Drosophila melanogaster: one gene and its partner. The protein of the gene in region 1 interacts with the protein of each later gene in a pairwise test. Each region holds a gene or a part of one and is shown on either strand. Other genes may lie near its edges. The genes, in order: CG6659 and Gabat.

Region 1 (3,923 bases):
TCCTTGCTAGACATGTCGCTCATGGAAACGAAGTGCTCCTCTATGAAGTCTTCCAGCACGTATTTGCGCGCTCTCTCGCGCTGCTCTTCGGTGAGGGCACTTACTGGGGCGCCGCTCTTGCGCCAGCGCCGGAAGAACATGGCCAGCATGACCACGCCGTACATGCAGTACGGCTTAACAATCATCGTCTTGACCAGCTGCCACAATTCTGACCAGGCGACGCGCGCGTACTGCGGATTGCAGGCGGAAAGGTGGGCGACAAAGCCGACATTGACCTGCAGAGCCCAGTGGGCACATATGTCGAAGAAGTGCTGCTGGTCGCCTTCCGTCACACTGACCACGCCAGCCCGATTGAAGAGCTCTATCAGCGTGGTCTGCACGCTGCTGGCGAGCAGCAGTGTGAGCATGAGGAACTTCAACGAGAATAAGTCGCCGTTCAGCAGATCCTGCGCGTGTCCCAGTCGCCGGCTGCGCACGTGACGCAACTGTCGCACCATTGTAATCAAAAATAGGAACAGCGAGATGCTCAGCTGCCAGGTGAGAAGCAGCTGGCTGTTGCCGTGCGACATTACAAAGGCGAGAGCGTGGCCCAGCAGGTGCGACAGCGAGTAGTCCAGCACGAAGGCGTTGACCAGAGCCGTGGGCAGCGCGCTCGCGTTCCAGGACGTCATCATGATCAGGATCTGGGTGGTGAAGATGAAGGTGGAGAACTGCCAGGAGAGTAGGGCGCAGGCGGTGAAAAGCGACATGGCGAAGATCTTCGAAGGGCAAAGATGTTACTGAGCTTAATGCAATAAAGCACACCTATTACCATGAACATGCGAGATGTGTGCCGCTGTCGGTGTATGATCCTTCCGATGCAGATACACAGATAAAACATCTGCAGGAAAATGAACGGAAAGGCGAAGTTCTCCCGCGCCAGCGGCCGCTCATAGATCTTGGCCACGAAGCTGTGGAACATCAGGTACGAGATTACGCCGTATATGCCACCGAAAATGTTCTCGCTGAGCAGCGTTCCGTACAGGTAGAGTACCAGCAGGGTTACCCCGCCCATCAGCCACACGAACTCCAGATAGAACTGCATCGGTTGCACCATTGGATTGAAGCCGGAGCGCACTACGTGAAAGAAGTACCTTTGGGGAGCGAAAGTGCATCTGCATTAGTGGACTTTTTGGGCATCACTCCTCTGGCAGTCACTTACGCCGTGACCAGCTCCGGCAGCACGTAGAATCGCTGCAGCACATTGACACTGTGCGGATACTCGATGTCCGTGACGTTCTTCAGCTGCTCGTAGCCGTGCCAAAAGTCCGGCCCTTCGGCCAGCTGCTTGTAGAAGGCATAGTACAGGGCATCCTCGCGCCGCAGAAGCGCCTCCCGCTCCAGCTGATTGAGCTGCTGGATGTTGGTGCGCGTCTCGAAGATCACGCGCACATGCTGCACGTATAGGAAGAAGAAGCCGCAGCCTGGGATGCGGATTGGAATTGGGAGTGTGGTCAATGGCAGTGGGAATCCCCAACTCAATTAGACTGCCGCCTGGAAGCGGAAGAGGCGTGGCAGAAGTGTCTGCCGGTTGGCGGAAACTCACCGATCAGCGCGTGCGACAGGATCACGTACAGGTTGGGCTCGCGCATCGTGCTGCGATTGTGGGTGTCGTCTCACTGGGTGGCTGTGTTCAAATTGGCAATCATTATTTATTTCACAACGATTATTCCTGGCTCCGCACAATAAAAACCAGCCAGCAATCAGCTGTTCTTCGGCCGTGCTTGTCTAGGGTGACCGTACCGAGTTGCTGTCAAAAGGGTCATTTGTGTTGGTTTGGTCACACTGAATTTTAGGTACATTACGATATATAGGTACATACCTATAATTAGTTATATTATCTACTGCACTTTTGGAATTTTTAATTATTTATATTGCATATCATTTATTGCACTTATTAAGTAAAAATTTGTACATTAAGAAATATATACATATAAATATTTATAATATATAATAATATATAAGTTAAAGTTCGTTCCAACTTTTATCACTTAATAAATGTTTATTCGCAGATAATACTAATACCTACTGCCACAGATAAAAGCGCAAACTAGTCTTGTATTTGTCTTGGATTGTATCATGATCTGGTCTATATAGATTTTTAGGTACAATTGCTGTCCAGCAAAAGCGTCATTTATCAGAAAAGGAACCCTGTATGAGCAATCTAGTATTTTCATATACCTACGTACCGAAGCCGAGTTCCCACCTCGGAGTCAACCTGCTACGGTCATACCGCACGCACTTCAGTGGTAATCACATCCCAATCCGCAGCAAAACAAAGAATAACCATGAACCGCTACGCGGTAAGCTCGATGGTGGGGCAAGGATCCTTCGGGTGCGTATACAAGGCGACACGCAAGGACGACAGCAAGGTGGTGGCCATCAAAGTGATCTCCAAGGTGAGTGGGGCGGGCCAGGTGATAAAGCAACAAGTCCATACAACTAGTTCACACCATATTCATGTTCTGCAGCGCGGAAGAGCCACGAAAGAGCTGAAGAATTTGCGCAGGGAGTGCGACATTCAGGCCCGGCTGAAGCATCCGCACGTCATCGAGATGATCGAGTCCTTCGAGTCGAAGACGGACCTTTTCGTGGTCACTGAGTTCGCGCTGATGGACCTGCACCGCTACCTGTCCTACAATGGAGCCATGGGCGAGGAGCCGGCACGTCGGGTGACCGGGCATCTGGTGTCCGCTCTGTACTACCTGCATTCAAACCGCATCCTCCACCGGGATCTCAAACCGCAAAACGTGCTGCTCGACAAGAACATGCACGCGAAACTCTGCGACTTTGGACTGGCCCGCAACATGACCCTGGGTACCCACGTGCTCACCTCGATCAAGGGAACGCCCCTCTACATGGCCCCGGAGCTGCTGGCGGAGCAGCCGTACGACCATCATGCGGACATGTGGTCACTGGGCTGCATAGCCTACGAAAGCATGGCCGGTCAGCCGCCCTTCTGTGCCAGCTCCATCCTGCATCTGGTGAAGATGATCAAGCACGAGGACGTCAAGTGGCCGAGCACGCTGACTAGCGAGTGCCGCTCCTTCCTACAGGGCCTGCTTGAGAAGGACCCCGGTCTGCGCATATCCTGGACGCAGCTGTTGTGTCACCCCTTCGTTGAGGGACGCATCTTTATCGCAGAAACGCAGGCGGAGGCGGCCAAGGAATCGCCTTTCACAAATCCCGAAGCCAAGGTTAAGTCGTCAAAACAGTCCGATCCGGAGGTAGGCGATCTGGACGAGGCCCTGGCCGCTTTGGACTTTGGCGAGTCGCGACAGGAAAACTTGACCACCTCCCGCGACAGCATAAACGCCATTGCTCCCAGCGATGTTGAGCATCTTGAGACCGATGTGGAGGACAATATGCAACGTGTGGTCGTTCCCTTCGCGGACTTGTCCTACAGGGATCTGTCTGGTGTTCGGGCAATGCCGATGGTACACCAGCCGGTGATCAACTCGCACACTTGCTTCGTCAGTGGCAACTCCAATATGATCCTCAATCATATGAACGACAACTTCGACTTTCAGGCTTCCTTGCGGGGCGGAGGCGTGGCCGCTAAGCCAATAGTCGCTCCAACCGTACGCCAGTCGCGCAGCAAGGATCTAGAGAAGCGTAAGCTTAGTCAGAATCTGGATAACTTCTCTGTTCGCTTGGGTCACAGCGTCGACCATGAGGCGCAACGCAAGGCCACGGAGATTGCTACACAGGAAAAGCATAACCAGGAAAACAAGCCTCCCGCTGAAGCAATTTCCTACGCAAATTCTCAGCCCCCGCAGCAACAGCCACAACAACTTAAACACTCAATGCATTCCACCAATGAGGAAAAGCTGAGCAGCGAGTAAGTGGCCACTGCGCCTCATAGAATTTCTTTTACTAACTTT
Region 2 (3,923 bases), on another chromosome or scaffold:
TTCCTCGAGCAGGAGGACCTTGCCCGGATCGCCCATCCAGGTGTTGAAGATCCTGTACGGCTCATTCGGAATGAAGTCGTCGTTGTGGAAGTAGCCACCCAACTGCAGCTTCTTGCTGAAGGTCACCACATCGGGAGGACTCTCCAACTCGAAGTGCTCGTGGGCCCAGAATTTTCCAGTGCTACCTCCACCGGTTTGGACCTCATCGATCAGAAGGGCGATGCCATTCTTCTTGCAAATAGCCTGGAGGCTCCGAAAGAACTCGGGCGATGCCTCGTTGTCGCCTCCTTCGCTCTGAATCGGTTCAACGACGATTCCGGCAACCGGATTCTTGCTGGCGTACTGCTGAATGAGATCCTGCACTTCGCTAAGGCACTTTTCGTCCTCCTTCTTGTTGTGCGCCACGTTTTCGTCCAGGGGATATCGATACTCGGGAAACGAGGCAATGGGCCAGTCGAAAGATGGAACGTCCAACTTATGGATGTACTTCGAATGTGTGGTGGACAGGGCTCCCAATGTTCGCCCATGGAAGGCTCCCTTGAATGAGAGAATACTGAGTTTCGGGGCTCCTGGGGGAATGTTAATCATGCAGGAGTTCTTCTCCTGCTCGGTAAGAGGTGCATTACCACGAAGTTTGTTCTGGTACCTGAAAACGAAATATTTGCAGCACGTTACAGCATTCCAACAGGGTTTAACTTTAATACTTAAAAAGGCTGAAGAATGACTAAAACTAAAGACTTTAGTACTCACCATATGAAGATGCTCTTGTAGGCATTTTCATTCGAGCATGAACCACACATCATGGTTGTGATTTTATTGAGTCCTTTCGGAGCTATGTTCAAGAGAACTGAGTGCAGTTTTTCCGGCCATTCCTTGCCAGGGAAGACACCAAGTGCAGGTCGGTTAATCAATGCTGGAAATAGTCAAGGATATAGTCACATTATTCAACATGGGAGTTATGTGGCTAAGATAAAACAATATCTTAGGGTTCTTCAACTACATATATGTATGTAGTATATGATATAACTTCTTACTTTTCAGGTTTTGCTCATTGTTAAAGACCTTGTAGAGCCTCGGATGGTTGTAACCCAATGGAACTGAGGAAATCTGGGTGTAGACATCTAGTAGAATGTTGCCATCCACGTCGTAGATGTAGTTTCCAATGGACTTCTCGTAGTCAGCGAAGAATTGGATCGTTCCGGTGGCCTATAAAAATGCAATTCGTTTTGATTAATAATGAATAGTTGAAAAGTAAGACACTAGGGGGCTATCTCTAAGTGGGCATATGGCATATGGTCTGATTTGAGAACGAAAAGTGCAATAAATATACATATTAATGTGCTTGTGGCGAAAGTACAATATAACCCTCACAACCCAGATAAGGCCGAAGAAACTCACCTGAACAGAATCCAGTTGCTTCTTAAGCTCAATCGATTTGGGGCCAGGTATCGATTTGGTTTTCACTACAGGCTCCTTGGGCTCAACGTTGGTGGAGTACCTCTTGGTACTCAGCCTATATAGACCTACAAGGATACCCAATCAGTTCCAGATTCGCTGGAGCTTAAGGATTTTCATTAGCTTACTCTGCTTGGTCAACGTATTTAGCCACAAGCTCCGCATGGTTACCGTCGATTTGAGTGCTCCGGGGTTAAGTGAAGGAATTGCTCAATAGGAGGGCTCGTTGCTGGCCACTAATACTTAGTTAATAAAGAAAACGTATATATTTACAGAATACAAACATAGAGGCTTTTATGTATGCGGGCATATACACCTATCCATATTCTTAAGCACAACCACATTCTCCCAGTTCGGATTTTATCAATTTAACTTTTGGAATCATCATGGTTCTGCGTCAATTACATATTCTGCAGTGAAAGTAAACGAAAGTTGAAAAAAAAACCAAACCATATTTTGCTCTGCGGGGCTCCATGGTCTCCTATTGAAATGAAGATTATATATCATAGTATTAGCATTTTCTATATATTTTCTTTTTCCACATTAAGCATATCTTATTTTTCAAAACAAAATTATAACAAATATTTTAACGAACAATAGGCCTTGACCAAATTCTCAACATGCATTATGCCATAATAAAATCTACTCTGGAGTTATCAACAAAATATCTTCAAAAAGTGGTAAATTTAAAATTAAAAAAAAAAACTGAATTAAGTCGTCAGCTGTTTCACACAACGGAAGATATGCATATATGCGAACAATTTTTTATTTAAGTAATTACAAAATAAAAGTAAAAAAAATAAAAAAAGAAAATTAAAAACATTAGTTTTGGAGGATAGGGATTTTAAGCGAATAATGCAAGTTAAATAAATATAATACAAGAAGTGAGCTTACGATTATTTCTTAGCGTATTATAACTTGATCCCACAGTATTTCTGAATAAACTAAAAAAAAATACATTTAAATCTCTTACTTAAAATTAAATAAATATCCCTTAGCAAAATTTAAAAAAGAAAACAGTGTTCCAGTCCGCCGTTTCAAATTAGTGCGAAACAAGTGAAAAACATGAAACAACAGTAGTTGTAGGCGATATCGATTTTTGTTTTATGTAAATCGATGGCACATGCGGAATGTAAAATAAGACCAAGTTAATACAGAGGATTTCCGTAGTAATATGATTGAAATGAACAAAACTGCAATCGGCATTGCAGCGGGAGTAGCTGGAACTCTGTTTATTGGATACTGCATCTACTTCGACAAGAAGCGCCGCAGCGATCCCGAGTACAAGAAGAAAGTCCGTGAGCGTAAGAATCCCCATTGCGCCCCAACTGAATTATGAAAGAAACTCATCATTTCATCACTTCCTAGGTCGCCGTCGCAACAAGAAAACCGGCACTGCCAAGTCTGGAGTTCCCAATCTGAACGACCATGAAGCCATCGAAAGGTAGGACACTCCCATGGGAGTCGCATTATATAATGTGGCACGTGTAGTGGTGCCTGGCGATTCAATACACCTCCATTCAAACAAACAAGCCCACATATGTTTCTCCAGCCAAATCGATGTACATATTTTATGTGGAGTCCCATTACACTTGCGTGTTCATCGTGTTGCTGCTTATTGCCTCAGGCATCTAAAGACTCCACTGCCTTGGATTAACAAGCACATTTCAGTGTTTGGATTCTCAGCAGGCTTCCTGCCAAGAAATTCATAATTTGAATATACAAATAGTTATTATTGTTGCAACTGTGCACAATTTATATTATTTATATGCACCTAATTTGCCTGGCATTAATTTAATTCGTAATAGTGTGCATCGAATCAGCTGTTCCAAACTAATTAAACCATGATATTTGCAGATATTTCCTTCAAGAAATCCAGCTGGGCGAGACCCTGATCGCCCGCGGAGATTTCGAGAGTGGCGTGGAGCACTTGGCGAATGCCATCGTCGTGTGTGGCCAGCCGGCTCGTCTGCTGCAGGTGCTGCAATCCTCCCTTCCAGCTCAAGTATTCGCGATGCTGATCGTCAAGATGCAGGAGTTCGGCAATCGAGCGGCCGAGGGCAACGACGGGCCAATCGTTTTGGGGCAGAGCTCGGAGCAACAACTGGACGGAGCCAAAATTATAGAGTGTTCATCTGGAAACGCAAGTATCGACGACCTCGAATAGTACTTGGAGATGGCTACAGAAATTGAGATATAAATTTCAACAGTAGAAATTAAGGGCTTCACATATAAACATTATATTTTTTTTATATATTGATTTCTCTGGATGTTCCCAATACATACAAATAAATATGCGTAAACTGTTAACACTTAACAATTGAGCTTTGTTTTGTGCGTGGTATTTACGTTAGGCGAATATCAAAGATCAACTCTGCAGACCTAAATGTTTTGCAATATGTATGTATAACAGGGTATGTGTTAAAGTGTGTGAAAGTTTATCAACAATAAAAGATTATTAACATGTT

What was found.
Region 2: the proteins of CG6659 (region 1) and Gabat interact in a two-hybrid assay, tested with the Drosophila melanogaster proteins (one large-scale study listed by BioGRID).

What each region holds. Positions count from the first base shown.
Region 1 is NC_004354.4:18,655,513-18,659,435, forward strand, and holds the start of CG6659 (uncharacterized protein), read right to left. Parts: upstream 1,775-3,923; 5' UTR 1,632-1,774; coding exon 1,586-1,631; exon of another isoform or gene 1,464-1,585; coding exon 1,202-1,463; intron 1,134-1,201; coding exon 812-1,133; intron 759-811; coding exon 1-758. Other genes in the region: fu (fused), read left to right, coding at 2,328-2,438, 2,511-3,880. UniProt on the Drosophila melanogaster protein: Probable C-mannosyltransferase that mediates C-mannosylation of tryptophan residues on target proteins.
Region 2 is NT_037436.4:19,998,538-20,002,460, forward strand, and holds the start of Gabat (gamma-aminobutyric acid transaminase), read right to left. Parts: upstream 2,090-3,923; 5' UTR 2,051-2,089; intron 1,937-2,050; exon of another isoform or gene 1,906-1,936; intron 1,866-1,905; 5' UTR 1,621-1,865; coding exon 1,584-1,620; intron 1,524-1,583; coding exon 1,399-1,523; intron 1,207-1,398; coding exon 1,035-1,206; intron 914-1,034; coding exon 751-913; intron 647-750; coding exon 1-646. Other genes in the region: Tom20 (translocase of outer membrane 20), read left to right, coding at 2,630-2,759, 2,824-2,899, 3,313-3,622.